Linked DNA regions of Sus scrofa. The protein of the gene in region 2 purifies or fractionates together with the protein of the main gene of each other region. This does not show direct contact. Links are inferred from orthologs where the notes say so. Each region holds a gene or a part of one and is shown on either strand. Other genes may lie near its edges.

Region 1 (3,571 bases), on a different chromosome or scaffold from region 2:
AATATACTTAGTTTTTTTATCCAATCATTTGCAAATTAATAAGGAAAAAATATACCGACATAATATTTTACCGTATAAGATGACAATCTTAAGAATCTGTACATGTATTGTGGAATATTGTTATCCCTAATTTATATTTTGTAAGATATCTGACAATGTACAAAGAATATCCAGCTCTAGGTGGTGACTGTTTTGTATTATAATTTATTTACAAAATTTCACCACATAATAGTTAACTACCCTTTTTAAGAAAATCAGCATTGGTCCTATAATGGCCATTAGGATAAATTCTTAAGCCTACAAAAGCCACCTTAGTACCTCTGTTCCCAGACATATTACCATTAACTAAAATCTGACTCCAAATTCTGATTATACAGTCATTTTGAAGTACAATCTCATTGGATTGACAAGGGATAGTGGAGGACCCAAGGAGTCCTATCAACCTCTATAAGAGGTGCATACCAGCCTACTGCTTGCATCCTTCTAGCTGCACCACTGTTGATTTGTAACGGGACCATGAGGTTGCCCCATTACACTACAACATGGTTCCTATGGAAAAACAAGGCATTCTCTAGACCAGCTAGACTGGTCAGCAGGGTGAGTAAAAAGTGGCTGTCAGCAGTCAAAAACAGTTTCATTTCTTTGAACTTTTCCCTTTTCCTTTTCTGGACTCCTTATCTTTTTCTGATTTTGAAGGTTTCGGCTTTTTCTGTTGGGAAAGAAAGATGCACAGAATAGTTAATAGCTGTGTTTCATGAGTAATGAAATAAAGTCATCTCTACAGTAAATCAAATCTTTACCTGTAACTTAAAAAGGGGGAAAGGTTGCAAACACCTAGATCTTGAACTACTGCTACCCTGATGCTTACTAGCACAAGTGGCTAGCTGCAGCCTTTAACTACTGAACATCTATTAAGACGCCAGAACTAGGATATGTTCCCCAGTATGCATTTTCTTTGACTCAGAACATAAAAAACATAAGTATATTTAAGAAAGACAAAATAAGCAAGAGATAATTTACAGATACAGTAAAGTCCTCATGAAGAATTTCCTTTGCTTTCAGTTTCAGATTAGAGATCCCAACATGCTCACTCTGAGCAGGGGAGAGAGGTAGACGTCTTAGGTCTACACAGGACTAGAGAGCGCCTCACTGAAGAAGGGCACTGTTCCCACCCCTGCACAGAAACGAGAACACAAACAGGATCGAGAATGATACACAGACACACACTAAGCACAGAAGAGGCTACAAACTAGATTCCTTTGCCTCAGCCAATAGCAAATAGTGGGCCAATATTATACATGATTTTAATCTTTCCTAGCAAAAGATGAGGCTGTTTTGCTCTGAGAAACTTCTATAGGCAATTCAATGTATACAGGAGAAAACAACAGAAGGGAAAAAAGGTTTCGCTAAAATAAAAATGCTTAATTATGCGGTGAAAGTATATCTGTGCGTAAAGCACACACCAATGGCAAATAAATAAAAATTGTCCTTTTACTAACAGCACATGACCATCAATATGATGGCTATTTTCTTGTTACTAGGCTCTTCCACTGTTATAGAAGCTGTTTATACAAATGAACTGTGATGAACAAAAAACTTAAAAGCATTTTCAGCTTCCTCTGCTACTTGCTAAACAGGCCCTGAATGATTTCAAAATGTTAGTCATACACATGAAAAGATAAGCTATTCTGAGGGAGTATCATAGCTTCTCCTATTTGTACATTAAAATATACTACCTTGATCATAGCATCACTTTCTAAAGTGTCCTGGTCTTTCTCATCAGATTGAGAGTCATCTTCATTTAACTCTTCGTTGTATTCAGAATCCAGCACTGGACCTGTGCTGTGTCTGTGTGTCTTTACTGCCTGCAGTGAATACGGAGTAAGGTGGGCTTCCTTATTGTAAGCTCTTGTGAAGGCTGCTTTCACCTACACGAAAGGAACAGAGGAAGATTATTAAAACTCTTAAGTGCCAAACAATCCTTTAAGTTCTACAGGCCCAGAGGCTTTGAGAGATCCTGGGAGCCCCTTGAAATTGTTGTAAAATATATATGTGTACATTTAAGTGTATGCATGTGCATTTTTCTATAGAGAGGTTCCATATTTTTCATGACATTCTTTAATAGAGTCCATGACTCAAAAAATAAGAAATCAGTATTTGGGGAACATAAGGCAGATTTTTAAGTGTTACTTTAAAAGTTCCCAATGGGAGTTCCCGTCGTGGCGCAGTGGTTAACGAATCCGACTAGGAACCATGAGGTTGCGGGTTCGGTCCCTGCCCTTGCTCAGTGGGTTAACGATCCGGCGTTGCCGTGAGCTGTGGTGTAGGTTGCAGACGCGGCTCGGATCCCACGTTGCTGTGGCTCTGGCGTAGGCCGGTGGCTACAGCTCCGATTCAACCCCTAGCCTGGGAACCTCCATATGCCGCGGGAGCGGCCCAAGAAATAGCAACAACAACAACAACAACAAAAGACAAAAAGACAAAAAAAAAAAAAAAAAAAAAGTTCCCAATGTGGCACAGTGGGTTAAGAATCCAACTGCAGTGGCTCAGGTTGCTACAGAGGCGAGGATTCGATCCCTGGCCCAAGACGTAGGTCACAGCTGTGACTCAGATTCAATCCCTGACCTGGAAACTTCCATATGCCACAGGTGTGGCCAAAATAATTAAAATAAAAAGTTACTTAAGTCATAATTTTTATCGATTCAGTGCTCTCTTATCACTAAAAAGTCATAAGGAAAGTTAGTGAACCAATAAATCAAAAAAGGCTTATAAAAAAAGGTACAAGTTAAAATTGGCCTTTAATTACCATAAAATATGCAAATTACCTTTACCATAAAAATAGATTATTTCAAAATACTAAGTGATGTGAAAAGCCTTAACTTCAAGCTTTCTAAACCTAACTGTAGAATGAGTCCACAAATTCTAACAATGGATTTCTCTTGTGAGAATCTGCCCATAGCCATTAGGTCAGGTCAAAATTCTAGAGTCAGCAAGCCACAGAGAATATGTTTTCTAGAACAGCACTGAATAAGGCACAAGGGTGAGGTACTTGAGAGGACAAAATCGTGTTATGTCACTTTAGTTTTTTTCATGCTCATTATATAAAGGAGGGGGTACATTACTATATAATAGACTGTCCAAATGTAATAAATACACTGAATCCAGATTAGGCAGACTGAGACAAAGTCTAAAAATGCTCTGCCAATAAACACATCTTTCTTTTCATAATATGTTCTTTCTTTCACTCCCAGGCTCACCTGCCCATCCTTATAAGGAATCCACTGACATTTGCTCCTCAGATTTCACATCTTGCTTTTCCACTCAGCATAAAGCAGAGATAAAACTATAAATTATAAAGTCAAACCTTCAAGTCTACTCTGAATACTGTACTCAAATGGTATCTTTGGAAAGCACACACCATAAGCAAAAGGCATTTAAGGAAAAGAAGTTTAACTGTTTAAAAGCATTTAAAACATCTCTGAAGTACTCCTAGTGCACAGTAATTAATTACAAAGTGATGGAGAATCAGTGGGGTATAACTTACCTTGGGATCCAGCTTGGAGAAAGGACT
Region 2 (4,171 bases):
GCAAAAATGGAATTGTTACTTGTTAAAAAAAGTTTGAGTACTTACTGTCAGCATATCACCAGTCCTATTACCTTTAGCAGTGGCTCGAGGTCCAAAGATACAGTTAAACATTAAAGTTGAAGACAAAATCACTTAAAGAAACTGAGAATGTCCAGCATTTCCATAAGGAGTCATTCATTTAAAAGAGCCCACTGAAAGGAACCTTCTATTATCTACATCTTATACAATGCGTTCTGCATATATTAACTAAATAACACACAGATCTGTCTTCATAAATGACCAAGAAAATATTTTTAAGTACAATAAACATAAACTGTAAAAACAAATACGTGACAACTGAAAATGAATTTTTTTTTTCTGTGTGTGTGTGTGTGTCTCTTTTTAGGGTCACACTTGCAGCATATGGAGGTTCCTAGGCTAGTGGTTGAGTTGGCGATGTAGCTGCCAGCCTACACCAGAGCAACTCCGGATCCAAGCCAAGTCTGAGACTTATACTACAGCTCACAGCAACGTCGGATCCTTAACCCACTGCAATGGCAGGAATCGAACCTACATCCTCATGGATACTAGTTGGGTTCGTTAACTGCTGAGCCATGATGGGAACTCTGAAGATAAATGTAAACAAAAAATAGCATTTAAAATGTAAAACTCCTAAGGAAGGAAAGAGTGATTTAAACAGATTTTTCTTAACGTGATTTTTTGGTCTTTCATAAGGATGGAGAATTGTCACCTGGCATTTAAGGGATGCATTAAAAAATCAGAGTCCAGTAGTTGCCTTCGTGGCTCAGCGGTTAATGAACCCGACTAGGATCCATGAGGATGCAGGTTTGATCCCTGGCCTCAATCAGTGGGTTAAGGATCCAGGGCTGCTGTGAGCTGTGATGTGGGTTGTGGACATGGCTCGGATCTGGCGTTGCTGTGGCTGCGGCGTAGGCTGGCGGTTGTAGCTCCAATTGGACCCCTAGCCTGGGAACCTCCATATGCTGGGGGTGTGGACCTAAAAAGCAGAGCAAAAAAAAAAAAAAAAAATCAGAGTCAAAAAAAAAATCACTGGTTAGAAATGTAAAGGGAAATATAATGTAAAAAGAGGGCAAAAATTTGATTTGAGAGAGAGAGAGAAAAGTTTGATAAGCTGGTCCTTTATACATCCACTCCAAGAATCAGAAACATTAGCAACAAACCAAAACAAGATGAAGAATTAACTCTGAAATTAAAATGAACATGCATAGAATACATACATATATACATATACATAGAACATAGATAGATATACACAGAATTAATACTTAAACATACAGGCTCCATCAACTCAATGGTTACATTTTTTCCTTCTCCATCTGAAAGAATAAACATTTTTCCAGTGGGATGAATCTAAAAAAAGAAACATGATTAAAAAAAAAAACTCCACACAAAACCCTTTAAAATCTTCTTTGAAAGATTAAACGCTTGACCAAAAGATGAGCAGACTGACCCATACTTACTTTACTGATGCTCACAAAACAGTTGTATTTGAAGTTTAACTGGTTCAAATTATCTTGTGTTACTATACCTGATCAAAGGATGTTCAATTAAATCTGAATTTCATTAAAAAAAACCCCTCCTTTTTAGTACAAATGTGTCCCATATTTTTATTTGCTAAATCTGGCAACATTATGCTAAGAACAAATTAAAGAGGCTCCATACTATCTAAAAGTGAGATCTACTGGCACCCATGATTTAAAGAGTACATATCTCCCAAAGGGTATGTTTTTAAAAATTAGGCAAGAATAAATAGAGAACTACTGGTTGTCAGAAGACCTAGGTTCTACTGTGAGACAGCTGCAAAGAGTGCAGTCAGATCTGGTTTGAATGCCAGCTGTGCTACTTACTGTGGCCTTGAGCATTTTGTAACCACACTCCATTCCTACCCAGTTTCTTTCCCAATTTTGGAATACAGCTATTTCAGGAAGATACATGGCTAAAACCACTAAATAAGACTTTATATAAAAGTTTTCTTTTCCTCAGCTTTCTCAGTTCCCTGATTCTAAGACTTCAGGCCTGTTTCTTACCAGCAGACTGAGGGGCTGCCCTCTAACAGAGGTGTGAGATAACAGAATGCTGCTGGATCAGAAAAGGACAATCAAACAATGTTTATAGGAAAGCGACTTCAACGAGAAAATGAGGTTTGAGAAAAAAGGAAATTAACAACATAAGTAAACAAGAAAATTAGCTTAGTTGTCAAGTCTGGTTAAACTAAAAAAATCTGAAAGTAAATGTGAGAGTTCTGTCTGTAATCTTTATGTAAACACAAACAGAACGAGGGTGGGGGCCGCTAGAATTTAGAACTCAGCGCATTCGAAGACTTCCCTATTTCTCGCCTTAAGAGAAGCACCAAAATAAGGCTGCAATGGATAAAAAGTGTGCAAAAAAATTCCCTTGTGAGAAATAAAGCAGTCGGAGAGCAGTGATGTTGCAAAGCTTTTCGTCCTCCTTCACTCTGTTAGCCACTCTGAAGCCTCCACCCTGACAGTCACGGGGTCCTTCCCCAGGGGGAGCCCAGGGCAGCAAGCGCACGTACCTTCTCCAGCCTCCCTACGAAGCAGACCGGCTGGTCGATGAACTGAGTTACCATGCTGGCGTTGATGCGCGATTTGGGCAACTCCATCACGTCCACCATAACTGCAATGCAGGACCGACAGATGGCGGGAAACAAGCCGACAACTGAAACCTTGAGCTCGGCAGACGTCTTCGGGGCGGATTTCCCCGGCACCAATCCGCGGAGACCAGCACTCTCGCTCCGCCAATCAAACGCGCGGAAATCTCGATCACAGTCCCGCTGTCTCCGCCGGCGAAGAAGGCTAGGATGCGCCCGGAAGTGGGGATCGGCTGCTTAGTGACGCACAGCGTCCCGGAAGTTACCTGGACTCTCTGCGAAGTGTAGGCGGGGGCGGGGCTTGGATAGGGCGGGGCTAAGGCTTCCTCCCTTGATCTTGTCCCCCCCAGCTGCAACATAACCCCGGAAGCAGGGTGTCAGGCTCCGGTGCGGTGCGGCGGGGGACTGCGGCTCGAGCCTCAGGTACCTCTTATCGCGGGAGTCGCCGCAGCCTTACTGTTGCTCTTTCTCCCCACCAACGGATGCGGAAGAGAGAGGCGGGAGTTTGGTACTTGTCCCCCGCCTCCGTGGCATGCTCGTTGCTGCGCCACCGGCCATTCGCGTTTCCCCGCCTCCTCTTTCCGGGTTCTTCGTGGGAAGCGCGAGGTTCTTGTTGAATGAAATCTAGGGATCGGATTTCTTTTTGACACCCTTCCTCCCTGGAGACGGGAAGTGGGGTCGCCAGTGATTTTTCGCCTCCTTTGTGAAGCTCCTGCTCGGTGGCAGAGGGTCGGCGATTTATTGCCTCAGCTGCGTCACTTTCCATTGTCAATTTCCCCACCTGTGAGCTAAGAGGTTAACTTGATTATCTCTACGACCCTTTTTAGCCCCAACTTTTTGGCCACACTGTGGTGTGGGTTTTCTCACCTCCGTGTTAGCAACGAATTGAAACATTTGGGACTGAGTGAGGAAAGGACCACTGGGGTAGTAGAGGAAACGAATATAAATAGCTGTTAGATCCTGAGCAGGTGCGCTACTTCTTGAGACCTAATTTCCCCATCCGCAAAATGAGGGTGTTAGATAACTGAATGTATTGCAAGGTTCCAGGTGACAAATTTTGTCTTTGTGATTGACAGACTCTTCTTAACTCTCTGCTGATCTTTCCCTCCATTGCTTTCCACACCCAGGACTCTGGAGGGGAGGTCAGGAGGTGTGGAAGATAATTTGTTTCAAGGAAATTTGGGGAGGATTCTTGTCTTTTGCTGGCTCAAGTGTCTGTTGATTTTCAGGGCTTTGTTTGCCGGGATTTACCTTGCCAGAATATTCCAGAATGAGTGCTCATAAAAATACATGCCAGCGGTGCTCCAGAAATTGGGAACAAAAATTCACTGGGATTTTATTATTTTTTTGGAGACCGAGTTCATGAATTTGCCCAAGCCATTGAGGTACCTAGCTCGAGTCTCCAGTTTAGTCCCGCATCTGCCTTAAACTAAGGACACAGGGCAATTTAAGATGGAAATCTGTTGTACTGTAGTCAAATGATAGTTCCCCGCCCATAATATATATGTAAATATATTTGTCTTTTAATTTTGCTGTCAC

The links.
Region 1: the proteins of RPA3 (region 2) and RFC1 purify together in Homo sapiens (affinity purification with mass spectrometry; 3 studies listed by BioGRID and IntAct, with this or other methods). This does not show direct contact. The link is inferred for Sus scrofa from reciprocal best matches to the Homo sapiens genes RPA3 and RFC1.

The regions. Positions count from the first base shown.
Region 1 is NC_010450.4:30,555,905-30,559,475, forward strand, and holds part of RFC1 (replication factor C subunit 1), read right to left. Parts: coding exon 3,545-3,571; intron 1,929-3,544; coding exon 1,737-1,928; intron 710-1,736; coding exon 635-709; 3' UTR 1-634. UniProt on the Homo sapiens protein: Subunit of the replication factor C (RFC) complex which acts during elongation of primed DNA templates by DNA polymerases delta and epsilon, and is necessary for ATP-dependent loading of proliferating cell nuclear antigen (PCNA) onto primed DNA.
Region 2 is NC_010451.4:77,912,028-77,916,198, forward strand, and holds the start of RPA3 (replication protein A 14 kDa subunit), read right to left. Parts: upstream 2,846-4,171; 5' UTR 2,657-2,845; coding exon 2,558-2,656; intron 1,372-2,557; coding exon 1,297-1,371; intron 1-1,296. UniProt on the Homo sapiens protein: As part of the heterotrimeric replication protein A complex (RPA/RP-A), binds and stabilizes single-stranded DNA intermediates that form during DNA replication or upon DNA stress.